3 linked regions of the Struthio camelus genome follow. The protein of the gene in region 2 interacts with the protein of the main gene of each other region in a biochemical or structural test. Links are inferred from orthologs where the notes say so. Each region holds a gene or a part of one and is shown on either strand. Other genes may lie near its edges.

The links.
Region 1: the proteins of FGF9 (region 2) and FGFR3 form a complex in vitro, tested with the Homo sapiens proteins (3 studies listed by BioGRID and IntAct, with this or other methods). The link is inferred for Struthio camelus from reciprocal best matches to the Homo sapiens genes FGF9 and FGFR3.
Region 3: the proteins of FGF9 (region 2) and FGFR1 interact in a biophysical measurement, tested with the Homo sapiens proteins (2 studies listed by BioGRID and IntAct, with this or other methods). The link is inferred for Struthio camelus from reciprocal best matches to the Homo sapiens genes FGF9 and FGFR1.

The regions. Positions count from the first base shown.
Region 1 is NC_090945.1:78,284,142-78,294,507, forward strand, and holds the start of FGFR3 (fibroblast growth factor receptor 3), read right to left. Parts: upstream 4,880-10,366; 5' UTR 4,782-4,879; intron 4,642-4,781; 5' UTR 4,594-4,641; coding exon 4,413-4,593; intron 1,558-4,412; exon of another isoform or gene 1,395-1,557; intron 1-1,394.
Region 2 is NC_090942.1:203,234,657-203,245,562, forward strand, and holds the start of FGF9 (fibroblast growth factor 9), read right to left. Parts: upstream 4,328-10,906; 5' UTR 3,313-4,327; coding exon 3,036-3,312; intron 1-3,035.
Region 3 is NC_090968.1:7,229,809-7,240,134, forward strand, and holds the start of FGFR1 (fibroblast growth factor receptor 1), read right to left. Parts: upstream 4,482-10,326; 5' UTR 4,467-4,481; coding exon 4,405-4,466; intron 1-4,404. UniProt on the Homo sapiens protein: Tyrosine-protein kinase that acts as a cell-surface receptor for fibroblast growth factors and plays an essential role in the regulation of embryonic development, cell proliferation, differentiation and migration.

The sequences.
Region 1 (10,366 bases), on a different chromosome or scaffold from region 2:
TTACTAGCAGGCCGTGCCCTAACCTTAACCAAAGTTAAGATTCAGCTGATGCCTTCAGCCATAAGCTTTGCCGGCCAGTTAACACCCTCCGAAACACAATGGTTAAAGGCTGCTTTTGTAAAATGGCAATGTCATTAACTGCCCAGAAACTGGGGTGAATTTCCATATCTTTTTAGGGTCTCTAACTGAAACAGCAGACGGATGCGGTAAATTTTCTGGAAGGACAGCTTTAAAACATACAGTCTGATATCAAAGTTCACTTTTACTGACCATACATAAAGAGAAAAGACTTTGCTTCCCAGTGCTACAGAAAGGAAAAAAGCCCTCAGTTCGCTTCAGAAAAGGCTTCAGCCCTGCCCAGGCAGCAGGACGGAAATGGTCCCGATTCAGGGATGCCGCAGTCGAGACTTCTTTAGCGTTCATCTAACTGCAAAAACCACGTTCAGGAAGGCTCCTGAACAGGTACGCTTCCCCAAAGAACGGTGAAGGTGTGCTAGAGGGAGCTACAAAACTTAACGCGCTGGTCAGAGTGGCTTAATTTAATTGCGTTGTTCAATTAATTAGCAGATCAACTCTTCACTACGCAATTTTAAGATTTACTTTAATGAAATTCCCCACTCAATGGTTGTTAATAAAGTCTTAATTAAAAGAACTCCCCCCCGAGATTTAATTGGAGTGACCCTTGTCAGTACATGTAAAAGGTGGTGATGTTACACATCTAGCATCAAATATATTAATGAACTGGTCTCCGCACTGAAACAGATTTTCCAGGCCACTATTTGCTAGCTGAAGAATAGACTAAAAACCAAAAAGCCACATTTCATCATCCCCTACTCATGCCCTCTAATTTTATTGCTCTGTAAAATATGCTAGTCTCAACATTAAAGACTTAATTAACTTCTTGAAATCTGCTACCGTTAAGACAATAAATGAAACAACTTTCTTCAGCAAAACTATCTCACTCATAGCCGCCCACAGAATCTAAAGGATTTCAGGTCTGAGATATAAAGTAGAAAGCAACAATACTTTATAAGGGACTCTTTTTTAAAGGGCTTTGAAATGCTTTCCTTACGAGAACGTATAAACCCAGAACCCTACTCCAGGAATGGTCAGCGCCACGCAGCACTCACTCAAATACAACTCTAATTTCAGGGTGAACTTTGGAATGTTTAGATACACAAAGTAAAACGACCCGGCCCATAATACCCTACATCCTACCCAATATCCTCGTCAGAAGCTGAAAAGGCTAAAAAAAACCAACCAAACAAACCAAAGTTGCTATAAGCTGCATAAAGAAAAACTTTTCAATCGGCACATCACCGCTGTTTCCAAGCAGAAAAGTCACAAGAATGTCTGGCCCAATATTTAAATTAAGTTAAAACGTGAAATGGTACCTTTTCTATTTCTTTGGCTTGCTTGCTGGGACCAGTATGGTAACTCTGGGTGACAACTCGACTACAGTACTACGCAAGTAAACCTCAGTTACTGCTCTTGACACGCTCGGATAGCTCCTCCCTTGCCGCACAAACTTTCTCAAACATTAACAGCTTTCTACGCAACTCTGTCAATGCATATACACAGCTTTAGCAGCTAACTAGTGTAGTAAAAATCCTAAGACGTCCAAAAATTCACTTTTCCCATGTGTCACGTATGCACACGCACAAACCAGATACGGAAGACAGCCTGTTATCAGAAGTCTTTAGAAGAGAAATGCTGCTGTTTCTGTTGGTCTGCTCTCTAAGAAAACAGCCAGCATTACTTGACATTCACAAATCGTACCAAGTAATATCTTTATCTGAATACTAATGCAAATTGGAAGGGCTTTTTTATATTGATGTCTATTCTGTGGCTGCTGAATAGAGTGACCGCATGCTCAAGGCTGCAAAGGAGTTCACTGACCTCCCTAATCATCTCTGTCATAGCCGCTGAATGACATACACATTCAATCCTGCCTTGCCTCTCTACTTTCATTCATAAAAAAAAAGAAAAAAATGACATTGTTCTTCCTGCAGCAGCCCCGAGAAAGGGAGAGAAGAGAAACTCAGCCCAGATGAGGCCCCTGGTGTTTTTAGTTTAGCTTCTATTCAGCAACAGCCCCGCCATCTGCCTCCTTCCTGCCAACAGCCGAACACCTCCCTGCGGAGATGTTAAAACCTGCACCCCCTCCACCTCCACTAATAGCTAGTATTCATATTAGCAAACATACACATACCTCGAGAATGCCTCCCTTCAATGTGTGTTTTATGTAGCTGAGTATAGGCACAAAGCAGTAGCTGTTACAGCCTTCACAGCCCCGTGTGGAGAATTAGATCACTAGGGAAAAATCCTTCCAAGCCCCTTTATGGAAAATAAGGCCTTACACTGTAAATGCAAAACCTAGTGAACAACAACCCTCAGTAATGAGCCAATACCCCATGGCCCATTTGACTAGGAGAAAGAATTTGCTTTTTACCATTCAATTCAAAGCTTGAAAAGTAAAATGTGTTTTTACTTGGCTCTGAAGGTTTATATTCTTTACAGTTGCTTTTGCAGGTCCTTTTCTCTCCCAGATAAGAGCGCCCTACGCGCTGGCAACAGGTCCTCTGCCCTTGCCTAACGAGTCAATTAGATATCACGACAAGCAGCCCGGGTATCGCTAGCGATATTTCACGCTTCCCTCGTGCACGTGGCCAGTCAAAAAGTAGCCTGGCGTTACAAAGCTCGGTCCCGTCTCCGGAGCACGCTGCCTGCCCGCCCCGCGCGCGCCACCCCCTCCTCTCCCGTCACATCTCCCTGCACGACTCGTACTGCCGGAGAAACGCTCGGAAACGCTGCTCCGCGTCCGTGCCCACGGGAGCCCTCCGCGGAGGGCCTAATCCTGCTCCCCGGGAAGCGCGGGAGAGTTTTGACAGCAGCAACAACAGCAGGACCACAACTGTGCCATTACTCGGAAAAGCCGGGGGGACGAAACCAGAACCTGCCCGCGCAGGATTTCCACCAGAGCGCCTGGCAATCCTGGAGCATCGCTCAGTTCAAAGACATCACCGTAGGGACATTTTCTTCAGCTGCCTCCCTTCCACCAACACGCCGGACGACTATAAGGGCACGTCACTTGCTAAATTTCAAACACCACCCTAAGATCTTAACGTGCAAATGTGGGTGTCTTAAAGAACAGAAAGGTTTTTACTGTTTTTCTGCCCACGATCTCAGTCCCCGGCTGTGAGCTCAGCCTGCCTGAGTGTAAATCCAGAGGACCCCCGAGGAAGTCACTGAGGTTGCTCCACACTTTCCTTGGGGCTCCCCAAAGAATTTTGCTCTAAGTGACAGCGCAAATACATATTTCAGGCTAACACGGGGAAAAGTTCTGACCTTAATTTTGGTCGATTCCTAATACCGTTACTAGCACAGACTGCTCTTGCTTCCTCCTAAACACCAATCTCATCTGCTCTGACAAAGCAGCTGAGATGTTGCCCCATAAATCAATTCTTTTGGCTGTGAAAAATGAGCCAAACGAGTTACACTAAGAATCTGGTGTTTTATTAGTACTTTCTTGAAAACAAAACCAACCCCCTGTGTGATTTATAGCTTTAACCAAAAGGGGTATGAAAGTAATGCCCCCCCCCAGCCTCCACGAAGCCCATTTATTCCCCTGTCACTTTTTTGGCAAACATGCTTCAAACCCTTTCGTGAACAATGGAAACTTTCTGTTGGGTACACGCAATCTTAAAGACAGGGGACTAGGAGGGGGCTACCTTCCATTAAAGAGCTTTGAAAAATAAACAGGGACTCAGGTAGCAGCTGAGGCGTATCAGAGAGACACGACATTTCAAACACGCTGTACCGTTTTTAAACAGCTTTTGCCCAACGCGTTAACTTTTTTTTTTTTTTCACTTGCGACTGCAACGCTTTCCACTCGAGGGGAGATATTTACTGCATTCCCGCAGATGTTTTCCCCTCCTCAGCACAATCCCAACTCTTAAGCCGTGCGCCGGCGCCAGCGGAGCGGTGGCACCTCCCGTCCCGCTCCTACAACGCGGGCACAGATGCCTCCCCCTGCTCTCCGACGTGCGCGCACGGAGGGCTCTCTGCTTTTCCCCGCTCAGCTGCGAGCGCGGCTACGGCCAAACCCCGGATCGGCACCGCGGCGGCAGTTACTGAGAGAAGGAACTTCGAAGGCAGGGAAAGTTGTCTGAAAAGCGATTTTTCCTTCCCGGGCGTCCTGCTGGCTTGGGCAAGCCGAAAGTGCCGCTGGCGGAGGAGCAGGCAGCGCCGGCCAGCACTTTCCCAAAGCCGGCAAGCGCAGCGCGCTGCCGCCTTTCTAACTCGCCCTCCGGGGCCCCCGAGCTCGCCGCGCCGCGGCCCGTTCCCACGCTCGCCTCCCGCCCGGCGCGCCGCACCGCGCCGCGCCGCGTCCCCCCGCCGGGCAGCCTCACCTGCGGGCTGCCCGCCGCTCCTCTCCTCCGCGGGGGAGCCGGGCCGCCGGGCCGCCGGGAGCCCGCCGGCCGCCGCCGCCAAGCACAGGCACCACAGGGAGCCCCACGCCGCCAGCATGCCTCCGGCGCGGCACCGCGGGCGCGGGGGAGCCGCCGCACCGCCGCCGCCCGGCTCAGACATCCTCCGGCCGCATGCTGCCGCCGCTCAGCGCTCCGCTCCGCCGCCGCGCTGCCGAGAGAAGGAGAGAGCCGCTCAGCACCCCCCCGCGTACCGAAACAGGGAAAAAGGGCGGGGGGAGGGGGGAAAGCGAGGAGAAAAAAAATAAAGGGGGGACGCGCGCACATAAGCGGCGCCGGCGAGCCGCTTACCTGCGCAAGCCCCGCGGCTCGCCGCGCACCGCTCATGGAGGGAGCGCGCCCGAGCAGCCGCCACCGCCGCCGCCCGCCCGCCGCCGCGGCGCTTCTGCGTCTGGTTGGCGGGCGCGGGCGCGGAGCGGGGCGGCCGCGCTGTCCCCGCCCGCCGGGGCCGAGCCGCGGGCGGCCCCGCCCCGCTCCGCGCCGCCGCCGCCGCCGCCGCCGCCGCCGCCGCCGCCGCCGCCGCCGCCGCCGCCGCCGCCGCCGCCGCCGCGGGGGGCCGCGCCCCGCTGCGCGCCCCGCGGGCGGGGGAGGAGGGATGCGGTCGGCGCGGTGCGAGCGCCGCGCACCTCCGGCCCGACTGCAATCGCACGGAGAAGAAGGGGGTTCGCCTCGCTCCGGGAAAGACGGGGTCGGCGGGGTTAAAGTCGGTCCGAAGTCCGGCAGTGCTAAGTACGAACCCTAAGACTGCGGCCGCGCAAAGTGGCCCCATGCCCTGCCATAGTGTGCCATGAAACGCGCACAGACTTCGTTTTTCTTTTTTTTCCTTTTTCTTTTTTCCCTGGCCTTACAACAGCAAGGGCGAGTTTTCTGAAAAGAGGCAGAATTGGCTTAAGCCGACTCCGTTGGGTCGTGGGCAGTCTAGGCAGGACGTGGCATGGCAGAAGCCGCCTGCGAGCGGTGCCTGCACTCAGCCTAACGGCTCGCATGCTGAAAGCGCCATGCGCCCGCTCCCCTGGCAGGTTTGCTGTGCTACGGCGGGGACTCCTTTGCCCTGGCCCGCCGAACACCCAGCGCCGGTGTCGTATCCCTGCTTGGATTCTGCGCGTTCACTGCTGCTAGCTGGATCAGCTACTTTTAATAAAATCTGATTAAATGTCACTTGTTACGATTTTGGGTAACGCAGTCGTCTCAGTCACCCCCAGACGTGGCTGACTCGCCGAAGTGACACGCAACATTTATCATTGAGAAGCGATCTGAGCTGCTTCATACAGAGGTCACAGCTCTGCTTTAATCCTCTTGACGCAGCAATTCATTCACTGAAATCTGAGAGGTGCAACTATTATCAGAGCTGAAAGCGCTCTGCGCAGGGTCCCCCAAAACCCCAACTTGCTAACAGCTAGGGTGAGATGGTTCAGGAACGAGAAACGTGTAAAAAGCTCAGGCGGCCTTGAGGTTTGCTCTCTGCAAGCCAAATCCCAGCTGCTGGGGCAGGTTTCGCTTTCGGCGGCGCGGCAGAAGGCGGGAATTGCTGGCGACCTCCGTGGCGGGGCTCTGCGTCGGTGCTGTTGTCGCTGAGCTCGGCGTCCGTCTTGACACCTTTATCAGGCGCGGAGAGTCTGACATCTCAATACTACGGCATTGTGTGGGGAAGCATTGAACCGGGGCTGCAGCGAGGAAATCCTGCATGTCAGCAGAGACTCTCGCAAGTGTCACAGGCAGTTTAAACGAAAACAATGGAGGGAAAAGCAGGCATATAAATAAAACGCGGTTATTTCGCCTGGGAAGTGTGTCAAACTGAAAGATGTTTTCTCTCACAACTGCTGTGTTAGAGGTGCCAGAAAATTGGTGAAAACAACAACAACAACAACAACAACAACAGCGTAATTATAGTGAGAAGAAAGTAGCGTTGCATGTGGAGTTGTTGCCGTTATTATTTTGATGATGACTTTTTGGAAAGGTAGGGCCAAATTCTGATCTCATGTAAAGACAGCAGGGTAAGAGCAGCACAGCATTTAATTGGTGAATCCTCACCGTCTTTCCTGTGATTATCTCCGTTTTTCACAAGAGCAGCAAAGGAAAGTCAGGAGCTTTCCTCAATCCGCAGCTGAAGCAAGAAAGTAAGTGAAAATGCGGAGTCAGGTGAAGCCAAACGTGTCTGTGTCCCTCTCGGGCCAGGGCGACAGGATAGAAACGTCCCATCCAAAGCAAGCGAGTTTTAAAGCTGCTACCAGAGGCTGCTGAGAGACTTAAAGGTCTGTGTCTCAAATCAGGTAAACCTAGCCCTTTAATGGTTTCAAACTGGTTTTCTTTTGGAGAGAAACTGAAAGCTTACAACATTTGGAAGCCCTTTGCGACAGGAAATCAAAGAGGTATTGAGATAGCCCTGTGTAAAGGACTTCAAGGTTGGCAGTTTTCCCTAGGGTGGGATATTTTTAGGTTTCCCGTTTATTAACCTCTGGTGCAGCCCATTCACATGAGGCTGTGGAGCACCGACCCGATTAAGCGCAGATTTTTAGATGCTAGTTCATCACTGCGGTGGCCACTGTAACAGAGCCGGAGATGCAGTACTGTGCAGTGAAAACTGTGTTTCTGGACTATGTCTCAGCCACATTCTTACTATAAAAAACTCAATGTATGTAGACTAGTAAACCCTGCTCAACCCAATAGCATTTATTTTAGGACTACTATGCTGTAAGATGCATCCTAGCCGCAGAGTATTCCTTTCACCTCGACCTAAGAGCGCGTCCCCCTTACGCCGATCTACACGCACCACCCCAGTGTTTGTTCTCCTCTTACCCTTTATAAACTTGCCCTTCCCAGGGCTTTGTATTTGTTTAGCCCCTTAATATCCAGAGCTGTCCGTGATGAAAATCAACCCGCTTTCGGCAGCTCTGGGACAGCGAGCGGCTGCCCCTTTTTTCCGAGGCAGGGGCTGAAATACGATGTGGTGGCAGCGCTCTCAGTGTCAAAGCTGGTCGCTGCTACGTTCCCGGCCCTGGTCCTGGCCGAGGTGCTTGGCCACCCGGAGCGGCTGCGCCCCCACACCCTGCTCCTGCTCCTGTTGCCCCTTTCCCGTAAGCCATGGCTCTCCCTGCTTCCCTGCTCCCACCGACAGGTAATTCAGCTCAGGGACCAAGGCAGGTGGCCCTGGACCAACGCCCCTTTCCTTCTCCTTCCCTTCCCTTCCCTTTCTCCACGGCTCGCTCTCTGCCTTCCTGCCAGGCCTCTCCACCAAAGCTTGATGCCCTTCAGGCTTCAGGCAGGAAAGCTAGAAACGGCATTTTTAGTGGTGGGCCAGCACATTAGAACTATTCTATGCAGAAATATATTTAAGCATAAATCTGGCCACTGAAAAGAATGAGGCAAAATAATGTCTTTGCTCTTTTTTTTTTTTAAATTGATTAAACCATTAGTTCCTGCCTACCTGCATAGCTGAGTTGTTGTATTTAACCAAGCAGAGAGCAGAGCATGGTGGCTGCTGTGAACTGACACATCGTGGGCCTCCATACAGATCTTTAAAATGATGCTGGGGGCTGGTACACCATCCCACCACGCCATACATCCCCATCAATGGGTCCTCGTACAACTTGCTTCCTTAGCGGGCAGAAAACAACTCCTGAAGCTATCCTGAGATGGAACAGGGCAGTGAAGCAAGTGAAACTTCAGTGCAAGTTTGAATATGCTGAACAAGATGCAGTAGAATTACATGGACACGTGGTCACACGAGTCTCTGAATCATATCAGGTTAGGTACACAGAATAAATATCACCAAATATTTCTTATCAGGACTGAGACGCGTGAGCCAGATTGAGCACCACAGCTCCCCAGGGCTTTACCAGCCTGTTCCTCGTTAGAAGCACATATGAGACTGGGCTGAAATATTACTTCAGAGTTTGTCCATTTGCATGCGTCCAGCCCTTGGAATCAAAGGGTTAAATAGCAGGAGTGGAGGTGGACACGGGAGTAAATTTTCCAGAGATCATGTCACTATCTATTTATATCAATAAGGCACATTGGAATGGCTAAACCAGTTTTTATTAACTAGCCAGTCCAAAGGGCTGCGATTCCAAGCAGGTTTATTGAATTTCAAGCTGATAGTCATTGTTGCTAAGATTAAGGACCCAAATGATTGTCAGGGTAAACACTGTGAAAGGTTAAGCCACCATGTGAAGGCTTTCTCTGTGCTTGCAAATGAGAAGCATATCACTTTGAAAGGTGGTTACAGCACAACTTCATCCTGTAGAGTTTACTTCCCCACAGAGCAGCATGGAAGTGAGAAAGAGAAGGCTCTGTTAAGGGAGAAGTAATTTGATTTGAAGAGGAACGAGAAAGAACAAGTGAGCTGGAGAGAGACGCACAAAGTCTCTTCGGCAAGAGCTGCATATGGGGAGGTTCTGGCAGAGGTGAAATAATTTGGCAGCCTGGAGAGAAAACTAGACGGTTTGCGGAAGTAGATAGAAAAAAACTGGAGAGAGCCTGTGGAGGGTGTGAGAAGCAAAGATTTAAAATCAGATCTTGAAATAATCTTGATTCAGTACAGCCACCGTGCGTGCAGCATGGGACACCGGCTGGCTCTGCGCCCTCCTGCGAGCACGTCTCGGAGATGCAGTTCACCTGTCCTGCAGATCTGGTTATCCTAGTCCTCCGAGTAAACCAAGACAAGCATCTGGAGCCTGCAGAGAAGAAGACAGAGATATTACTTCTGCCTGCCCGGTGCATTCAAACAGTCACTATATATGACATTTCAGATAAACTTTGGCTGGAGCACTTCATTTGCAGGCATAGCAAGACCTCTAACTTTGGGGGCATTTGAAATGAAGCCACACGCTGCTTAGTCACCCACCGGTCTGCGAAGACTGATGCCGGTGAGAATAAACCAGACGCTGCCAAGGCAGTTTTCTGGGAGACCCACAGTCATGTTTAAGTAACTGTCCTGAAGCTAGGATTTACTCCAGGAACACACCCATGTACCATGAGAACTGGGATCTTATCACATCTGTGTGGCATGGTCCCAGAGGCAAGCTCCAGCCCATGGGCCTCACTAATGACTGCTGTTGGCCCCAGCAGCGGCATGCGCGGGATGAAATCCTCTCTGGTCTCTAGCCATTTCGAGAACCGCGCTTCATGCTGTCCAGTGTGGCTCGTGACTCCCAGCCCAGCCATAGGGCCTGGCTTTCGCATCCGTATCCCTCTCTCCAGGGGCGTTTCGGGGGATCTGCCCCACTCTGCAGTACCGGAAAGGAATGTGTCGTGAGCAGCAGAAGATCTGTCAAAATAAAGAGCCATCAACTAAAATAAATGTGAGTTAAAGATAATTCAGCTGAGGTCTTCTATCTGTTGAGGACTGCAGAATTTTAGTCAATATTAAGACATTATTACTACAGTTTTCAGTCAAGCTCTTTCTCAGTGGCACGCTTGTCTTACTTTAGGGGAAGGCTTGAATACAGGGACAAATCAGTCATTCTTAACGCTGCTTTACTACTGACTGTGTGCTCCCACAAGGCAGTGCTGACACAGTCCCGCGTCTGACTGCAGCCCTGCCACATCTAGAGGCTGATTTGTATGTCTATCTCCTTGCAATTCCTGTGGTAGTTTTATTTTTCCAAAAAGCACAGTACAAGCTCTGCTCCACTACAGAGATAGGGTGGGTGGATCAGACGCATATTGGTGCATTAAATATACAGGATGTGTTACAGAATTGAGTGACTCTATAGCTTTTTCTGGCCTTTGAAATAAAAAGTAGTACGCATGCACATTCCAAATCCTATGTTCATGTCCAGCAGCTTTGCAGTGGAAAAGCAATTGAGGGTCTCAGAATACTTTATAAACAGAGATAACTCTTCTAGCTGGTCTCTGAGACAGTTAAGGGTTATTAT
Region 2 (10,906 bases):
CTCCTGCGGATGATGAACGCAGCGGTTCCTTGTAGCAGCAGGTCCCGGGGAGCGGAGGTCACCTGCTGACAAGCTTTTTTTTTTTTTCCCTTCTTTTCCTGCATGCTCCTATTTTTTTAATGCTGTGCATGCAGTACTTGTGCTGACGCACAGAGGCACGCCTCTCCGCTGTTACAGAGTTCCTGAATTTACAATGACTCCACTGTCTAGCAAATGCCCTAGACTAAAGGAGACTGCATCAAAAAAAAAAAATCTTTTGTCACCTAGGAGAGATAAGGCTTTGATCACATAAGATCGCATTACAGGGGGGACCTAAGTCTGCTCTCCCGAGGAGCTTTTATTCCAGAGATGGACATCTTACTGCAGGCATTGCGAAATGCCCGGGCTTCCAGAACCGGGCGAGTATAGACACACAATATGGCTCGGTTTATTGTATGCAATAGGCACACATCCAACATAGCATCACAAAAGAATTACTCTTATCTGATGTCTCTCCAGAGGTGTGTGTGCGTGTGGGGGGGGGGGGGGGGAAGGGGAGATTCCCACGGGGCAGAGCCATGAGAAGAGTTTACGCGCAGCCCCCGGGGTTCTCTTTGTCCTCCTTATTCCTGCAGGAAAAACTTCCTTCTTACTCGTGTATCCACACACACATACACAGGTTTCCCCCACACGCTCAGAGGCGAGCAAGTTAGCTCTCTCTCCCCACAGCCAGCTCCCGAGAGCTGCCTGCACACCTTCCCAGGGTAAGCAGAAGACTTTACCATCACCAAAACCCAAACAGCATCTGCCATTCGGCCACCTGCCGATAAACACAAGAGCACTGTCACGGCACCGGCACAGAAGTACTCAGATCCCCCCTCTCTAAGCCAGGAACCGCAAAGCATCCCGTCGCATCGCCTTGCCCAGCCTGCACGGCCGCGCGGGGGGCATCACCGGAGCACTACATGGGAGAAGAGTTAGTGCAACGGTGCTTTCTGGGGGGAAGAGGGCGACCGAACCGAGAGAAAAAAAAAAAAAAAGAAAAGAAAAGAAAAGAAAACCATCTATTTAAAGCCAAGGCGCTCCAAGGGCGAGAATAGCTGCCCCTCGGAATTGTTAGCTTCCTACAACTGCGGCTGGAAAGCCATTTTTAAAAATAGACGCCTCGAATAATGTGGTCACGGCGGCGTTGGACAGGGAGCAGCTGGCGGCCCTCCTCCCGGGGGCGGCGGGGCCGCGGGGTGCCGGGCCCGGAGCCCCGGCTGCCGGGCGCGGGCGGTGCGCGCAGCGGCGCGGCCGCGCTACACCTGCTGCCGCCGCCCCGCGCCGCGGCCCCGGCACAGCGCTTCGCCACGCGCGTCCCCCGGGCGCGCACCCGCGGCCACCTCGCCCTCCGCCTGCTGCCGTCAAGGCGTGTGTGTGCGCGCGGGTGCGCACCCGCAGGGAGAAGGGGAGAACCGGCGCGCGCGTATATTTGAGCAGCTATTCCTAGCGTCTCCGTGTGTCCAGCAAAAAACGCCTAGGTGCAAAATCCCGGCGCTGCCCTCGCTGTGGCACTGCCCTGCGCTCCCGCAAGCCCCTTTGGGCACTTTGCTCCCCCTTGGCTCGTGCTCGGGAGCGCGGCCGTTGCGCGCCCAGCCCAAGGCAAGGACGGCGGGCGGGCGGCCGGGCAGCGCGGCCGTGCGGGAAACCGCGCCGAAGTGCCAGGGAGAAGGGGCCGAGGGGGTGACAAACCTGCGACCGTGCGAGTTTGAACCCCCTCTCCCTCCCCTTGCCCCCGACGCCCCTTCCCCTCTGCGCCCTTTGGAGACCATCTCCTACAACACCGGTATTATCTAAACAGCAATAAAATACAGTTTAGATATGGTTCAACATCTGGCATTAGAACATGAAGCACAAAAAAGAAAAAAAAAACACCACAGGACTTTGTTTTTACGACCGAATTTAAGTGCTGTCAGGTTGGCTCACTCACAAGTTAACTCCTTGCAACAGCTGAGAGCGTGGCTAGCTAACCTGGCGTATTTTCCTCACCCCTCCTTAAAAAACAAAGAATCCGACCATCCAGGCCGCCTGAGCCACTTTCGTGTATTCAGTCTGCCGGGCCTTTAACAACCTCCCTGGCAGCAAAGAAGCTCCAGGCCCGCTTGACTTGTGTGCGTGCGCGGCTGTGCACGCACCGCCTCCGAAAAGTGCGTGAAGCCGTCAGCCCTCCAGCCTGCAGCCCTCAGTGCTGAGTCACAAACAGCGTCCTCTGCAAATGAAATCCACGGAATGCTCTTTAAAAATTAGCTCCCAGCTTTACACACCGCACAGCTCCGGAAAGCCACATTTTCCCTCGCCCGCCTCTCGGCGGGTTGCGAGCGCAGCCCCAGCCCGGGGCCGGCTACCTGCGCGCCGCAGCCTGCTGCCTCCGCAAAGCGGCCGGCGCTGCTCTCGCTGCCGGGCTGCGGCTCCCGCTTCGCGCCGGCAGCCGAGCCTCCGAGGCGGCCCCGGCAGGGAGCGGCAGCCGCTGCCGCCGAATCCCTCGCTGAGAATCAGAACACGTTCAATTGGCAAGCCAGGCAGTTACTAGGGCAGGTAATGGGGAGAGAAAACGAAAGAAAAGCCTGCGTTAATTTGCGTACAGGACGACAGCCACTCCCTTCAGGAAACTCAGTGAATTTTAAATTGTAGTGGTTAATGATTAAAAACCCTTTAAACCCCGTGAAATCAAATCATTCAGTAGAAACGTCCGGAGCAAAAATTCCACCACCACCACCACCACCACCACCGCCGCCGCCACCTCCCCATACGTATCTACACTTAAGCAGAACTTGGGGCTACGTAAATATCGCCACCAAAACCACCGTGACTTTGGTGCGGGCTCCTGCTTCGCTGCGGCTGTGCCACTTGTGAATATCTGCAATTCCGGACACATTCATTTTTTCCCTTCGCTGATCAGACATCACCACAAAACCCCCTCCCCGCCCGCTTCGCACCCCCCCAGCTCCCCCCGCCCGCACTTCTACCACATTATTTCATCACATGACCACTGAAGGGTTAATGATAATACCTACCAAATCTGCTGTGGTCTTGCCTGGTTCCCTGGATAGTACCATTGGGGAAGATTTCTAAATGAAATCCAGTCCTGCAGTATAGCTGCCTCCGCCTGAGGATCCCCTTTAAATGGTCCAAGTCCGTGACTGCAGGCCCCCTGGGTAGCCCACCTGCCTCAGACTGACCCAGGTGGTCACTTAACAAAACCGGACTATCCACCGGCAAAACGGGCACATTCCCAAAGGGTACTGCATCCTGCACACCGAAATAGTTCCCAACTTCACCTAAGGGAGCCATCAGAAGATTCTGCTTTTAGAGAATAAGAATAAACAATAATGATGGTGCCAAACCCAGGAGATATAAGATTAGGTATATTCCACTCCTCTCCCCTCCCTATCGCAGTTACAGAGAAAATGTTCTTTCTTCAATCCATTAAATGCATAAATAAAAGTAATATTCTGTTTTGACTGGTACAGGTTCAAGGTCAAACCAGTTAGTCTAAGAAACCACCACTTTATACTCACACACTGACATATTTATAAACATATAGATGTGTATATCTATATATATGCATATATCCCCAGCTCTTAGCAAGCAATAAGGTCTTCAGCCCATCCAACTGTAATAAAGAAAAAAATCCGTAGTTTCTCCATTTGGTTTAAGATAAGAATGACCATAGCAACTTAAATACCTAGGCGTTATAGGGATTTTTTTTAAGATGCACAGGCTACGTCAGGATTTATGGATTCTGACTCCAGAAAGGCATGCGCTGTTTTTACTCTATAACAGACTGCATACATCAGCATGAATCCCGCAAAGGGGGGAGGGGGGAATCTCACGTTGTTGGCTGAGATAAATCCAAAAAGAAAAAAGAAAAAGGAGAAAAAAAAAACTTTTGACGTCCAAATCTATTATCCAGAACGCTCAGGAGGCTCAGCAGATGTCCATGGGTTTAGGATTATTGACGATCCACAAGCAAAGCAGAAACGTACAAGTGCTTGTGTCTTTCTTGGCTGCCTTGAAACAGGTGTTGCTTCTGCAGGGCTCCCTGTGAAATGTTGTACTCCAGCACTGAGCTGCAGCTCTTGACTGTGGATCTCCATCCAGCACGCAGAGTGGCGCAGGAAGAGGCATTGGGCTGGGTTTAAGGTAGTCCTGATTGCTGCTGGAAGGCTCCTCCGAGGTCCTAGCGCGCAGCCCTACCTGCTGCAATACAGCCGCGGCTCCAGCGCTAGGCACTGCTCGCAGCCGCTCTCCCGCTGCTCTGCGGCACGGCCGCGCGCCCGGGCAAATCAGTAAAGAAACGGGCGAAACTTTCGCGGGTGAGAGGAGCGCGGGCGAAATGCAGCCGGTCACCCCGCTGCGGGAGGCAGGGCGCTGCGGGAGATGCCCGCAGTGCCCGCCGCCCGTGACATTGGCCGGGACGGCGGCGCGGAGCGGCGCGGAGCCGAGCGCACCGCGAGCCCGCCCCGGGCCCTGCCCGCCCGCCGGGGGCTGCGAGGTCGGCGGCGACCCCGGAGCCCGGCGCGGTGGTGCCCTGGCTGTGGGCAGCGGCGGCCGCCTGCCTGCCGGGCCGAGCCGCCCTTCAGGTAACCGGGCTGCCGCTGCCCCGCAGCGGGTTTTAAACTGAAGCTCGGGGTCCCCGGGGAAGGGGTGGGAGGGCGGCGCGGGGGGGGGGGCTGCCGGCGCGGCTGGCCACGCCGCAGTGCTCGTCCTTCCCACCCCGCGGGGACTCGCCGCCCCCCTCGGGAGCGCGGAGCGCTCGCGGCTCCGCTGCTGCTGCGCGGCTGCCGGGGGCCGGGCCGGGCCGTGCGCCGGCTGGGGGCCGGGGGGGCCGGGGGGGCCGGGGGGGCCGGGGCCGCCCCGCTGCGCCGCCGGGGCGCTCGCTTCAGGGACCGGACCGCTTCTCCCTGGGCCGGGACCCGGCGCAAGTTGTTGAGAGGCCGGCGCAGGGCAGGCAGAGGCGGCTAGGAGGTGGCAACCCGGGGGCGGGGGGGCACTGTGGCAGGAGATCGACCCCAAGCCGTTGCTGGAAAAGTCTTCTCCTCCCGAAAAAGAAGTTATTTCAAACGGCCGGGAGAGAGCTGGTGAAGGCGGGGGGGGGGCGGGAGGATATATGTTTCTTCTTATGATGCCGATGATGGATGTTATTGTTGTTTCGCCGCACTCCAATACAGCTGCATTAATTAGCAAAGGGACAGAAGGGTCTCCTGATTTTCCAGGATTGCTGGAGCAGAGCTCAAGGACTGGGCACAATACGGAGGCTTACACTGAAGGAGAGGATGACTCCGGCAGCCCTGTGGAATTAAATGCGAAACCTGAAGGCAGGACTGTGGAGGGGGAAGAAAGGGAGAAAAGGAGAGGAAACATAATATCATGGGAGCCGGGGGGAGAGATTGCATGGTGTGAATGATGATGCACCTCTCCAAGAGGGCAGGGCCCCGGAAGGTCACTGGTGGAGGCTGGAAACAGAGCTCAGGGAAAGGAGAATTTTGCAAGGGGGTTAATTAAAAATAATAGACTTTCTGCATGTCTTACTGCTCGATGGGCATGCAGAAGAGGGAGCGGCTCTCCTCACCTTCCCCACCCCAAAAACCAGCAGCCCAGCTCTGGCTGGCACAACCCACCCTTTGTGCCTCTTCCCGCTTGCTGCTGGGACTCCACGCTCGAGAGGAAGCAAGACTTCCCGCTCCCATGGCTAACAGGGGGGACTGCAGCACGGAAAGGCTGTGTCCCGCATCCACAAGGATGTTAAGGAAACTGTCAGGGCATACTCCATGCCAGTGGTGCATGAACCCATCCTACAGCTCCAGCCGTCTCCCTTTATGTGACTCCACTGGTCATTACTAGCGTCCGCAGGATGGGGTTCAGGAGCTGCAGAGCAGGGTCCCATTGTTCTAGTTCTGCTCAAACCCACAGAAAGAAACAGTTGCTGCCCATCAGTCCATGCATTTTGATGTGCAAGAGCAGACCAATCCCCCTCCCCCTCCTCAAAACGCAGGAAAATCAGCGCTAGCAAGGACTGCTCCAGCGCTCTCCGGGAATGTTCCACAGCATTACCATATATATCAGGTTTAAGGACACTGCTCACACACACAACGGTTATATCAGTGTGAACAACTGCAGAATGACTTGGGAAAAACTGCAGAACTCCCCATGTCAAAAATCATTATTCTTTATCAACTTGATCACGGCAGTACCCAGAGGCCCCATTCAGGGATCACAGTCCCATTGTGTTGGATACTGCAGACACATGTAATAAGAGCGATGGTCTATGCCCAAAGAGCTTATGATCTTAACCCATGATGAAAGACAACAGGTGTATACTACAGACACATGGGGGAAGGATAAGGGAAAAGCAGTGCTGAGAATAAAAAGCAACAGGCCTAGCCAATGACAAGTGTTTTGTGTCAGAAGGAAGTTTTAAGGAGATTTGAAGGAGAACAATAAAGGAGCTTTATGGCTATTAATGGGAAGGGTTTTTTCTATGCATAATGGGTGACTTGGAAGAGAACATAAAATTGCTTGTTAAGAAATAGGACTGCTGAGAAATTAAGGCTCACGCCACTGGCAAAGCACAAGGATTAGGACTGGAAGTCCTGATATTTGTGTGCTACTCAGTCTAGAAATAATGGGAAAGAGGCTTCCAGTCCTTTAAAGTTTACATTTCTAGTCCCAGTGAAGAGTAAGAGACAGGATTTTAATTTTTTGTCTAGTCCAGGCTTCAGTATTTTCTACCTTGTACTTCAGACCAGCACTACTTATGCGAAATATCTGAAGGTAAAGGAGGAACTATTTGTATAATTTTTTAAAGGAATTTAAATGAAAGCCCACATATTATTGGCTATAGGAAGTTTGGTGTTATAAAAGTGTTATCTAAGCTGAGGCTTTGATGTCTGAATTACTCATAAGTATCAAAGCCACACATGAATTATGCAGGGCATCCCCAAAATTATACCCATCTGTGAGTAGGTGGTGTTCTAACCCTGCTTCACATAAAATCTGTGTGTGATGTGTAAAGTCAAACTTACCCCGTGCAGAAGTTTGGCTTTACCAATATCTCAGGCTATATTAAAAGCCTACACTTTTATCCCCAAGACACTGAGGCAGAAACACCTCTACCCCTAAACTCTCCTCAACTAGAGATTCACACCCACTTCCCTTATACCCTCCTGGAATTAAAGACTGTATCTGCCACAGTGAGTCATCAAGAGCTTACTCATCAGCTTTATGCAGGATTTTAACTCCTGCTAGCAGAGCTGGTCAGAAGAATCTTGCATTTCTTAAGTAGTTCCTGGCACATATTCTTCTGGCATGTACTACACTAATGTGACACCTCTGGCAAGTTTTAGGTATCGTGATTTTTTTTTTTTTTTAACTGCTTAACCTGTACTCTACCCACCAGTTCAATTTTACAACAACTTTTCACATACCAAATTTTGAGCAGCGATTTAAAAAAATCACCCTGCCACAAGAAATGTGTTTTTTCTTCCCCCTAGACGGCATAATTTCGTCAAAAGTACAGAATTCTACTCTGGACTTACAATATATCTCTCTACAACATATTTTTCCTAACATTGCAGATGGAGAATTGAAGAAGATTCATGTCATTAACAAGAGAGGATCTACAACCTGTCATTGACAAACATGGCATTTGCCAACTTCACTAAAAATGTGTTGAGTCAGCAAATTTTCAAAAGCTGCTTTTTATAAATAGAACATAATATAGAAAGCAATGTCATTTTCAGATTTCTTTGCAGATAGGAATTTTCAGGGTATTTGAAGCATAATACAAACCTGAATATTATAGAGTATAATTAATCTCGCCTCACTGCATGCTGCTGCAGTCTAGACAAGTAAACTACTTGTTCTTTAATGCAGAGAAATAGGTGCAATTTTAGGGAGCGAATCATCTGACCTATTCTAGGCATCTACTTTAGGATGACATGACTCATGCTCTAGAGATGCTCATTTCTTCCCCCTGTGTATGAAGAGAGCCTATATTAGATATAGACTTCTACATAACACAGGTCCAGATATGATTGGATGAATCCCACTTGCTATGCTATACATGTGATTCAGCATTTCCCCAGAATGGACGGTGAGCGCATTAAACTATTAATATAACTGCACAAATTAATCCTCCAAAGAAAAGTCATGTCATCTCAGCAATGAAAAGTTACTGAAACTCATGATTATGAAACATTAGATTACATGGAAACAAATAACACGCTTGTAAAATGGCTTGATTAAACTACTAGCCATGTGATTCAAGTTGATTGGATTAACATAAGAAAGGCCTACAGATTTAAGAAAAATGGATCTAGAGGAATAACATTTGCCTTTTCATTTCAGAAACTGTAGGAAAAAAGTTTAAAAGTATTTATGACGTAAAAGATTGCCTGCAAGGATCCCAGAAGACAGTATATTTAATATGACCTACAACCTCCTGCCTAACTTTTCAGACAGGAGGATTGTAAAACATAAGGCAGTTTACATGCAATTTTTCAGGGAAACATAGCACCAGTGTTACCATGTGCTATACAGCTGCAGCAGTGTATCTGACATGGATTTCTTATGACATGATGATATTTTGCCACTTATAGGAATCAGTGAAGCTACATAAACTAGCCATAGCAGAATATGATCTTTGTGACTGTCCTTGGGAGTTCAGGGAGTCCAAGGAGTATCAGGCTATATGCTTAAAATATCTTAATTTAAGTACAAAAGTAATAATGCCATTATAAGTCAGATAAAATGCATTGATAGAGACGTTGATATAGTTTTTTGGCATGCGTGTATCTGCTGGTGATGCTTGAAGCTAGATAAGGTCTACCTGCTGCTAAGATCTGCTGCTTTTGTACTGAATTAGTTGTCCCTTTCACAAGATCGTCCTGCTCAAGAGTGAAAGTGCCATTAACTGGAAAAAGAAAAGGGGAGGAAGTCAAAGCTGCTGTGTATGCAGAAGACTGCACAGGTCTATCCACGGTAAGCAGTTTTTGTGACACTGTTCACAAGATTACTCAGTCTGAGAACCGCTCTGCTGCTACCGCCCCAGCCTTTGCCTTTCGTGCGTTTCCTGCCCAAGAGCGTGCTGTTTCTATTCAAACAGATTTCTGCTTTCTTCACACTCACGCATTTTTGCTGCCCCTTTGTGACTGCAAGCTCAGAAGAGTTTGTCAGTAGGCTGCGCTCAAACTAGCCTCTAGGATATCCTTGAAGTTCTTTCTTAGCCAGCTACACTTCCTCTTCAGATAGTTCACTATCTGAAAGATGTGATGGCACTCACATACCAACCAAGGCACATATCCAGACCATCAGCTGGACCCTACATATCAGTGCTAGATTAGACATGCAGTCAGCAACCTGCCTTGATTACCCTGTCATCACCTGCCTTGGGGCAAAGACGGAAAGTGCCTCTCCTAGAGCTTCTGCAATTCTCCATAAGCTGGACACATGTCCCCGCTTATGACTTGGTCAGCATGCTGGCAGGCACAGTAGCCTGGTACTCCTCTATCCTGATGCGTCCAGGTCCACTTTCTGGAATGGCCAAAGGCCTCTCTAGCTTTCTGAAGGCAAGTGATTGCATCTCCACCAGTGGTAACATGACCACACATAAGATTTCCAAAATAAGTGAACTGAAGCGCAACCAGTACTTTGTTCCACCACAGGATGTTGAAATGGTGGCCTACATGAGATTCAAAGCCGATTCACGCAGGAGTTCAGTCTATCCAGATGCAAAAGCAATAAGCAAGTCTACAGTGAGCTGAAGCATCTGCTTCGAGCGGCCACCAGCACACAGCTGCCAGCACGCAAGGTCCCTGCTAGCCCGCTGGCAGCCAAGGCTGAGCTAACCTCCTGCGGGTCAAAGGCTTGTCCCAGGGCCCACGTGAAGGTCACAGGCCAGCTCTCTCTCACCCTCCTCCAGAAGACGTCTCCACGAACCCAGACACCTCCCTGTTGACAGCGTGCGGCAGGGCAGAGGCCAGGTTCTGCCACGCTGTCCCCAAGGAGGCTCTCGGAGGGGCCATAAGGCTGTAACCCCACTCTGCCCTCCCAGCCCTGTGCCTCCCCTGGGCTGAGGGCGCAGCTGGGGAAGGAGGGAAGGAGACACCCGTGGCCTGGCAGGGGCAGGCCGCCCCACCGCGCTTGTGTGGGACTCTCTTGCCCTCTAGTGGGCAAAGCCAGCGGGGCGGCCCCGCCGTGCCCCCTGCGGCCTGCCCTCCTCCTCCTCATCATCCTCCTTCTCCTCCTCCTCCTTCTCCTCCTCCTCCCTCTCCTCCTCCTCCCCTGCCCCGGTGTGCCAGCAGCCCGTGCATGGTGGCTGGCTCCCCCGTGAGGCACCAGAGTCTGGGGGCCTGCCAAGATCCCCATGGACAGCCCCGGCTCCTGAAGCAGGGGACACCCCTCAGCATCGCCTCAGCAGTGGCCGGGGTCAGGGGGATGGGAGAAGGAGAGCTGGGCACTAACCCCCAAGAGGGACACCCTGGTCCAGGGCTGGCAACATGGTTGTGTGCTGCTGCTGGTGACCTTGGTGGGGAACACGCTGACGAGCGCCTGTCCAAGCTGTCACCTCTGCTCTCCCCAGCCAACAGTGGAGAGAGGGACCAAGTGCCACAGGCCCTGAAGAGCAGCGCTAAGAGCAGACAAGCGAATCCATGATGGGGCAGCCAGAGGTGGGACCTGGGCAGTGGCAGCACTATTGGTTTTTGATGGATGGGATGCCCCAACGGGTGGTACTCTTGTGGCTGCTGAGCACATCCACACTGCTGGGACCGGACTGGGCCACAGAATGGAGAAGGTGGCTGTGGAGATGCAGAGCCAAGGGAAGGGCAGCACTGGGGGCATGGCCCTGTGGCCCACCTAAGGCTGAGCGGGGCCGCAGGTGTGG
Region 3 (10,326 bases), on a different chromosome or scaffold from region 2:
AGCAGCCTCTCAGTCCGGCCCCGGCGAGGACGCGGAGGCTGGACTCTTATCTCCGCTCTGTCCCGTGCCTGTGAGTTATGAGGGCTGAGCTGTCCGCGGAGGCGGCGCTGGAAGGGCTCCTCCGCTCCTGGGAGGAGGCCCATGCCTCCGGGCTGAGTGTAGCGGGGAAGCCCCTGCAGCCGCCTGGCTCATGCTCCGCGAATGCACCAAAGGGGCCAAACGCAGACGCCAGTGCCGGACCAGGGCTGCTCGGCCGGGACGCCCGGGAGCTGAGCATGGTTCAGGACGGGTCCCCGTGGTCCCGGACGGGTGCTGTGTCCCACGTCCTGCAGGAGAGCCCCCAGTGTCGGTCTCCCAGGAGCAGCCGGCGCTACCCGCTGCCCTGCTGCCCTCTTAGGCTTCGTCTCACGGCCGAGCAGGACCGGTCTGCGCAAGCAGTCCCCACGTCAGGGCGTACGCGGAGGCAGCCCGATCGTCAGGGAGCCTCGGGGCCACCAACCAGCTGCCGATAAAAACCAACAGGGCAATCCAGATTCAACAGAGAGAAGTTTCAACTCGGCTCCCAGGTCAGCAAGGTTTCAGGAGCCCGCGTTGCTGGAGGTTGGGACCGGCCTGAGCAAACGAGGAGCAGGGACCACGGCACCACGTCAGGCTCAGAGCAGAGCTGCTCCCCAAGACCTTGCACCTGCCAGGCATACACGCGCTCCAGCTTCAAAACGTACATGAAGAGACGCTGAATTTTTCTCAGAGGCTCAACGCAAGCAGCCCTCCAAGTGCCCTTGCAAAAGAAGGGCACGCCAAAGACAAAAGTCTTGGGCAGGACGAGGGAGAACAGCCTTCCCCTTGCCCACACCTCCCTGCCCCAGCCTATGGCTCAGGTCAGGAACCAAGTATTTGCCGAAATAAAAAGCAAATACAACTGCAAATGTAACTATAGGGAAAAATTATAATGCTTAAAGCAGACACATGCTTGGAAAAATAAACATCCAACTGTGCCGCATACATACAGTGTTAACCCTTTCATGCCGTATGAGTTAGAGCCTGTTGCAAGGCCTTACAGCTACCAGAAATATCCCTGGAGAGAGGTCCCTGCACGCTATCTGTGTGCACCCTGCAGAGTGACCAGGGAGTCTGGCAGACGGGGCAGGAAGGTAGGTTCAGAAGCAACCTCAAATCCAGGGATCCCTCTCCAAGGACTTGATTTTCAGATCTGCAGAACATCTCTTAGTACCCAAAAGCCTCAGCTGGGCTACTGAACGCTGAGTGCCCCGGCTGGTGACCAGTGCGGGATGTCCCAGACAGGGGCAGTGGGATGCAGCCACAGTCTGCCATCCTCTGGAAGAGGCAAAGGCCAGTTAACCATCTGCAGAGGGAGCTGGATGGGGGTTTGCTACGTTCAGATCCTCCAAGGAAAGCTGCTGGGAGAGGAGAGATGCACATTTCTCCAGCAAATGTTTCCCCTATTGTTTGCATTTGCCTTCATCCCCAGAAGCAGAAGGTCTGCAAGGCCTGGGAAGCTGAGGAGAAAGTGGGATTGCCAGGGCTGGATGAGCATCGCAATTCACTCTCCATCGAGCGGCCCCTTCTAGCAGCCAGGGCTTGCAGAGCCAGAGCATCAGGGTAAAACCTGCTGAGGCTGGAGCCAAAACAGCTCCTAGTGCAGTTCACATTTTTAGGCACATAAATAAATAAGGAGCTCCAGTTTGCACCTGAAAGCAACTTGGGCTCCTTCCCAGCACGGCTGGAGCAGCCAGCGCTCCCCATGGCAGGCGCTTTGCACCCAGCAAAGCCCGGTACCGACCCATGCGCGTGCAGGCTGCTTTTGCAACGCAGGGAAGAGCACTGCTCCTGCCTTCACCCCGTCAGGGCAGGGACCATCCTGATTTATTTTAATCCTCCCTGAACAACACAAGGAAAAGGCAATAGTGCATGCCAGCCACCGCAGAGATTAAGGAAGTGCTCATGTGTGGGGAAAATGGCTGCTAGCCAGAGAGGTATGCAGGGTCCGTGCTCCCGGCCCCGCAGCATCGGCAGGGCTCGGCGGGGTCGCTGCATTGCCGCTGCCCGCGCCCCCACGGCTCCCCGCCTCCTCTGCACAAGCGCTCGCGCGCGGCCCCTCACCGCCGAGCGAGTCCCAGGCACAGCACCGCTGCCTCCGCCTGCTCAAGTCTGAAAGCAAATTCCAATTTCACTCGCTTCGGGACCTGGGCAGAAGAACAGCTTCTAAGCCTCTGTGCTTTATTAACACAAGCAGTTCGGTGAACCACACTTCGGTGTTTAAACATTCACCGGAAGGAACTGTGTACCAGTCAGCCGTAGCGCTTCAGACGCTGGGTAGTTATTCAACAATCTAGGCAGAGAAGGAGAAGCGCACCACGACTCCAGTACTTCTCTGTGTAACCTGAACGCATTACAAATGGATACGCAACTCGTGTTTTCAGCTGGGCCGGCTAGTTACATAAGTCAAGCTGCCTCTGATTGGATCTTGCACTCAACTCGGTAAAACAGCAAAAATTACAAATACCACAACCAAAAATGCCATCTGAAACCCAATACAGTCCCGGCTAGTTACGCACATCATCCCAGCAGATAAGACAAATATCGCACACGCCATCAGCCAGCACGCTGTACTCTCTGAGCGTTCGCCATGTATGAACAAGGACGACTCTCAGAGATCCTGGCAAAGAGTTTTGATAAAAGACAATCTCAGAATCTCCTCATCTCCCCATGGGCACCTCACAAACACAAAGGAAATATACAATTTAAGGATATGTTGTTTCCAGCATCTCAATCCCCAGTTACCACCGGAATGCCCCAACATCAGGAGGCTTAAACAAAACAAAACCCAGCAAGTGCCGGCTCCTTACTCATCTTCTTCTGGGAGCCTTGAGGCTCCCGTTTGCGAACTTCTCTTCGCACACAACGGCTAGGCAGCAACTTTGCAAACAAGCCACCGAACGGCAGAGCCAGGTCCGCGCCAGCCCCGCGCCGGGCGGTGGCCTCGGGCCCGGCCGCGCTGCCGGAGCGCCGGCGCCGCGGGGGGCTCCCGGGCCGCGGCCCCCGACGGGCCCCGGGCCGGCGCGTTTCCAACGTGCCGCCCCGCCGCGCTGCGCGGAGCGCCGGCCGCGGAGCCCGACGGACCGGAGCCGCCGGTGCCTGCGAAGCCCCGATGCCTGGAAATCGGAGCCCTCCGCTGCGCTGCGGAGCCCCGATGCCCGCGAACCGGAGCTCCCCCCGGTGCCTGCGAAGCCCCGATGCCTGGAAATCGGAGCCCTCCGGTGCCCGAGGAGCCCCGATGCCTGGAAATCGGAGCTCCCCCGGTGCCCGAGGAGCCCCGATGCCTGGAAATCGGAGCCCCCCCGGTGCCCGAGGAGCCCCGATGCCTGGAAATCGGAGCCCCCCCGGTGCCCGAGGAGCCCCGATGCCTGGAAATCGGAGCCCCCCCGGTGCCCGAGGAGCCCCGATGCCTGGAAATCGGAGCCCTCCGGTGCGCTGCGGAGCCCCGATGCCCGCGAACCGGAGCTCCCCGGTGCCTCCGAAGCCCCGATGCCTGGAAATCGGACCCCCCCGGTGCCCGAGGAGCCCCGATGCCTGGAAATCGGACCCCCCCGGTGCCCGAGGAGCCCCGATGCCTGGAAATCGGAGCCCTCCGGTGCCTGAGGAGCCCCGATGCCCGCGAACCGGAGCCCCCCCGGCGCCCGAGGAGCCCCGATGCCTGGAAATCGGACCCCCCCGGCGCCCGAGGAGCCCCGATGCCTGGAAATCGGAGCCCTCCGGTGCCTGAGGAGCCCCGATGCCCGCGAACCGGAGCCCCCCCGGTGCCCGCGAAGCCCCGATGCCCGCGAGCCGGGGCCGCCGTCGAGCGGCGGGAGGGCGGCGCAGGCGGCGGTACTCACCGGAGCCCCGCGGGGCGGCGGCGGCGCGCTGCCCGCCGCTACCGAACAATGGCGGGTGCCCGGCCGGGGCGAGGGCGCAGCCCCGCCGGCGCCGCGCTCACTGCGGCCGCCCCATGGCGGCGCCGGCCCCAGGCGCTCCCGCCGCCGCCGCCCCGACCCGACCCGACGGGCGCCGCTGCCGCTGCCGCTGCCGCCGCGTCCCCGCCGCCGCCGGACTGAGCCGCTCCCGCACCGCCCCGCCGCCTCCTCCCCGGCTCCTCCTCCGCGCTCCCCTCCGCCGTCCTCCCCAGCCCTCCTCCTCCTCCTCCTCCTCCTCCTCAGCGGCCTGCTGGGGCTTGTAGTCGCCGCCGACCCCCTCGCTCCCCGCCTCCCCTCGACGCCCCCGGGCTGCGCTCCGGCCCGCCCGGCGGCCGCCCCCCGCCGGGCCCCTGCCCGGGGCCTCGGGGCCGCCGCTGGGTTGCGAAGGCTGTTCCCCCCCCCCCCCCAAAACCGTCCAGGTTGCGCATACGAGGTGCTCGGCCCTTCCGCAGCGGGATGCTTCCTTCTGCGCTCGGCCCCTCTCTCGCTCATGGCTGCTGCGCGCCGGGAGAGCGGCGAGCCGGGAGCCCCGCCGTCCGGGGGAGGCAGAGCCGGGAGCAGGGGCAGAGCCCTCGTCCCGCGGCGCCGGCCTCCTGGCAGGGCCTCCGCCGACCAGGCGCCGAGACAGCGGCGCGCTGGCACGCAGGGGCGGCAGCGCGCTGGGGAGCCCAGAGCCCCCAGCCTGGCCCTTCTGCGAAGCCAGGCCTGGGGCACCCACTTTCTGCCAGCAGTTTTCCAAAGGGTTGCCAGACTCAAATCATTCCTGGGAGCCGTCCAGGAACTCCTGCTGCTGGAAAGCCTGCCCCTCCCCTGCTGTGCCCAGCTGGGCAGCTCTCCACTGAGGTCCGGAGCACGAAGACTTGGAAAGCACCCCGAAAGATCCCTGCGTGCTCAGGCAATACATGTGTCGGCTGGTCAGGCCTCCAGCCTTTCTCCCATATGCTGTAGCTGCTGTACCCTCCCCAGGCCCAGGCCCAGGCCCAATCTCTGCGGGTCGGGCGAGCTCCCCCAAAGCCAGGCTCGCGCAGGGTAATGCGGACTGTGACAAGGTTTGGCCTCCGTGCAGGAAGCACAGATAGAGGAGCAAACCCGACTCACATTCAAAGTCAGGGTAGGTCAGGATGAAGACGTCTCCTGGCTGGTAGTGAAAGACCTGCGTGAGGCAATGTGTAAGTGATTAAGTTATAACAGGGAAGAGGACAGACTGAATTAGCCCTGTCAATCACCATAGCTATATTTGAACCAAATGCTGGGCATCTGTCTTCAGGAGCAGCCTCTTGCTGGTTCAGGCAACTGCTCAGATGGCTGTGCCAAGACCTACTGAATATTTTTTTTCTGGGATGACAGATGTGTGGACAGGGGAGAGGGAGGGGAAGGTAACATGCCTACCGGGATGCTCTTGCCCCGGCATGTTGAGCATGGGAAGAGTGTCTAAGAGAGCCGGTGGCATGGGGCAAGAAGAGCTGTTCCCCAGTGCCCCCGTGATGCGCAGCTTGCCCCAGGCGGGCTCCCCGGGCGCCTGCCTGCGGGGCAGCCTGGGCGTCTCTGCGTGCGTGGGTTCCCTCTCGCTGCAGCCCGCGGGGCGGTAGGTGTGCTGGCTGGCAGCATGTTCCTCTCTCTCTGCTTTTTCTCTTTCGCCGGACAGGCGAGCTCTTCCCAGGAGGTGATCGAAGAACGGTGCGGCTACCTGGCAAGGAGGGCAGGCGGAAGCACGGAGGAAGCAGATCTCATTGTCTGGAGAGGGCCAGCCCGGCGAGCTGGAGCACCTTCCTATTTCCAGGCGGGTGAAGCAGGCTCAGCTCCGTTCTGCAGGAGGGACCACCTGCCCCGAGGAGTGAGACCCCCCCCAGCCCCAGCCCTGCTCTCTTCATCCCCCGGACAGCCAGGAACCAACCTGCTTCATGCTTAGCTATAGGGACCGAGGCTGGGGCCAGGTTTGCTGCACGGGGACCTGAGAGAGCTCCGGGCGGCTCCTGCCCCCCCCCAGGGCAGCCATGCCTCCTGCTAAGCTTTTGTCCCAGGCTTAATAACGTCGGCCCTGAAATGGAGCTGATGGATTTGCAGCCATAACATGTCCTTGTGAGGAAAGGGGAAGGGCTCGCACCTCTGCTGCTGCTCTCCTTGGGGATGGCTTTCTGCCTGGCTGCATCGCGGGGGCGGAAGACTGAACTTTGTGGGCCTTTACGGTGCTCGGAGATGGCGGAAAATGAGGACAAGAATCCCCTGCTCCTGGGAGGCTCAAGGGTTCGCTGCCCCCCGGCCTCAGCACTGGGGCTCCGGAGCAGGAGTGACCGCGAGCTGTCACCATCTGGTGGCATACAGACCCCCAGGATGGCCGGGGAGAGGAGCGCTCCCCGGGGCCGGCTCCGTGGGCATCCAGCCCGCCCCGGTCCCCAGGGCCACGCTCTCCCGCACACACCTGCGCGTCGGTGACACGCTTTCGAGGCGACGCAGATGCGATTTTCACATGGAGCCGGGCTTGTTTCACTGCAACTACACTTAATCAAGAACAGGACCAAGATAAACTGAAAGCACATCTGCGCTACGCTGACAGCTGAACAGCTCACCGCGCGCAGGCCGAGCCCCGGCCCAAGCTCGGCTGAGCCCGCGCGCAGCCCGGATGTGCTCGCGGGCTGGCTCTGACGCGGACATCCAAGCGCCAAGCGCTCGTGCAGAGCTTTGTGCTGGTCTAACGATCCCGTTGGCCTCGGGGCCGGGACAGTGCGCTCACACGGACGAGATCTGTCCGGGGCCAGGACGAGGAAGCCGGAGGGGTTGCTGGCGGCTGGCAAGGGTGCTGGTCCCGCAGCCTGCTCGCCCCGGCCTTGCTCCGAGCGGCCCGTCCCCGGCACCTGGCTGTCTCGCTCGCGGTGGCCTGCTCCATGTGCATCGCCGAGCAGCCCAGCCACGGCGGCAGCCGACCGCCCGGGCAGCGGCAGCGGCACTGGTGGTGGGATGTTGCCAATACTGCTTGCACAGCAGTTTCTCCAAGTCTCCAAAACTTTTGCATGAGGGCCCGGGTCTAGGAAGGGGCAGGGTAGCAGCGCGAGCCCAGCCGGCAGCACAAAGGAGCCGTTCCCCCCTGACCTCAACTTGCCCAGTCAAAGATCTGCAGCTCTCCCCTCCTCCCCACTACAAAGGGGCTCTTTTCAGCCCCTAATTCTGCATTTAGAAAACAAAAGCAGATGCATCTAGTTGAGCTTTGTGGAGGGGGAGGCCAGGAGCAAACGCTGAAGAACAAAGAGCTTTCCCTGAAAGATCTGGCTGACAAAGACTTTGTCAGCTCGGGCTGGCCCTGCAAAGGCCGGGGCACATCAGAGTGCAGCGCTGGCTGCTCGCAGGCGGCCGGCTGGCTCGCGGGCTCGAGCCTGCGCCACCCCACAAGCGAAAGGCAGCGCACGCGGCAGGGCACGTGGGAGGCAGCCGGGGCACACGTGCGCGTGGCCCTGCTCTCTGCGGGGCGTGCAGGGTGCACGCGCATCGGCTCCGTGCGTGCGAGCGCCGCGTCCGCAGCGCGTTACCGGGCGCACGTGCGCTGAGCGTGGCTGCGCACGCGGGTAACGGGGCGCTGCAGGAGGGAGCGCGGCTCGGGCAGGACACCAGCCTCAGGACTCCTGATCGGAGCCTCTGCCGGCTGCGGCGTGGCTCGGACGGACAGGCCAGTTCCCGTGCAGCCCTCTTTCCCCATCTCTAAGACACGACTCGTCTCTTCTCTGCTTCCCCCTCCGCCTCCTGGCCAGGCTTTTCAGGACGTTGCTGATGTTCTGCAGAGGCGTCCAGGTGCGTTGTCTGACCTTGGCAAATCACTTCCCATGTGCTAGAACATCTGAGTCACTAGTGGTGACTTCACCCCGCTGTCCCAAGGCTGGAGGAGCTCACAGCAGCCGTTCTCCATGCCGAGAGGAGTCTGTTCTCAGGCAGGGCTTGTGTGAAGCGTCTCAGAGAGAAGTCCAGCCCCTCTCAGCACCCGTGGCTGCCTGGCCAGCCCCGTGCCACCCTGCCAGAGGCCAGCAGGGACACTGCGGAGAGCTCGCCCGGCAGCTTGCAAAACTCCAACTTTCCCAGGGAAATGGGACATGTGAAAATCAGCAAAATGTTAGCTCCCGGGCATGATTTAGAAGCTAAGTAGAGCCTTTTACAGGAAGCCCCCTCTCTCGCCTCTCTGCTCCAACTCCATAAAGTGTTATTAGCGGCTCTGGCTGTAGCTAGAGGTGCTGCCTGTGCTCAGCTGGACTTCGGGCACTGCCGAGCCAGGCTGGATCACACACCCGCAGCCCTTGGCCGCATGTGGCCCCTTTCTGCCCCACGGCGGGATGGGGCCCACCAGGCCTGCCCGGGAGCCCAGCCCAGCTGTGCTGCTGTCCTGGAGCAAAGCCCTGGCATGGGCAGAGCACAAAGCCCTGTCATGGGCAGAGCACCGGCTCCGGTCCTTGGGCTTGCAATACAGCCCGGTGGCTCCCAAGCACTCTCCTTGCTCTGAGGTTTTCTCTGCTATTAGCATCAACCCAAACCTGCTTTTTCCTTCCTTGGTTGCATCTCAAAAGCACCATAATGTCCCCCATCGGCTGCTACTTGGCTGCTTTTCTGATGGTGATGAAGGGAAATCAAACAAGCAGAGCACCATTTCACTTGCAGGGGAGAGGAGCAGCGCCAGGGCCAGGGGTGCTCAGGGCACCTGCGGTCGCAGCAGGGTTTGCCTGCAGACGAAGCGTTCAGGAGACTGAGCAGGACCCGTCCTGAACGAGCGAGCGCCTCCATGGACGCCAAACAGAGACGCCAGTGCAGAGAGGAGGGAGGTGAAGGATGCTCTCCTGCAGGCATTCCCTGGTTCTCCATGGCTTTCTCAGAGCCTTTCAAACCAAAGCCAGGACCTATGTGGCCAGGGTGCACCCCGTCCAGCCGGGGGGGCCTGATCAGATGAGTCTTTGCTGGAAAACCTTGGTTTGGTCCCCGGCAGTGCTGTTGGGACCACGGACACTGCAGGCTCTGGTGTCTTTCTGAGTGGTGGCTGGAGGAGACCTGGGCTGAAATGGGGAATGAGACGCTGCTGAGACAATCCATGGGGACCAGCCTGGCTGGTTTGCAGAGGGGTGCTGGCATGCAAAGCCAGGCTCTTGCTCCCTCTCCCACTCTTAACCTCTTTTATTCAATGGCTGTTGTCTTCTCCATTTTTTTAAAGCCTCAGCTGACTTTTAAGCTCTCAAGCTGACTTGTCACAGGTGACCATGTAGGCACCTGGTGTCCAAGGCCAGGCTCGCTCCCTTCCTTGCGCCAGCAGCTCTGCCTGGCTCGCCCGGGCGGGCTGTCCCAGGGTCCTGCCGGCCAGCAGGAAGAGCCTCAGCACCTTGTCCCCCCAGAGCTTTCCCTGCCACCTCCGGTGCCCGCAGGCAAGCCACCGTCCTCCTGCCGCTCCTGCGCGAAGGCGCCGAGCCGGCTGAGCAGAAGTCTTGGCAGGGAGGCGCTGGCTGCACCGACATCCTGCCTCGCCTCCGAAGGGCCCAAGATCGGCTTTCTGTTGCACTTCCCTTGACGTTAGCGTGGTATCTCGCCTTCCAGCACGGCTGATAAGAGCTCCCGAGGTGTGCCTCGAGTCCAGCCCCGCCAGCCAGGGCGGCGAGGTCGGCTGCCCCGCGATCGCCCAGCACTCGTGAAGACATCACATGGTATTTTATGATCTGCAGGCAGCTGCACGGCAGCGTTTGCAGCCAGAGCGGCAGTTACCGCCTGGCCTCGGGAGAGGGACGTGCGGGAGCTCGGGAGGCGCCGGGCAGCCCCGGGTGCAGGGCTGCAGCGTTCCCCGACGCCGCGCTTCTGCCGGAGCCGCCGCGTAAAGGAGCGAGCAGCAGCAGCCTGGGAAACCTGTTGGCTTTGGCTGCTGCAGCCTGTCTGCACCCCTGGGCTCGAAACGGGGGCCAGAGCAGCCCTGGGGCGCTCTCGCAGGCGTTTCTGCCCTGCAGAGATTTGCTGTACCGGATAATCCATTATGGAGGGCCGGCGGGCTCGTCGCGCCGTCGCCCGCGGGCTGCGGGGGGGGCTCTCTAATTTGCTCGGAGGTGAGGAGCGCGCCCTCGGAGGCGCCCTGCATGGCTCGCACGTCCGCGAGGATCGTTATTCACCGCAGTATATTTTCTGCATGAGGCGGGCTTGACTTCTGGCCCCTGATTGATTTGCAGAGGGGAATTAATTACGTTTGTTTGACATTGCCCCGCTCTGAGCCGGTGCATGAATGTCACGCTGCTCCAGCCAGGCTCGCTCTTGCCGGGCTGTGACGTTTAATAAGCTCTCCCAGGAGACGCCCGGCACTTTTCATCAGCCGCGCTGCCGCTCGGGCTCGCGGGAAGCGCCCGCGCAC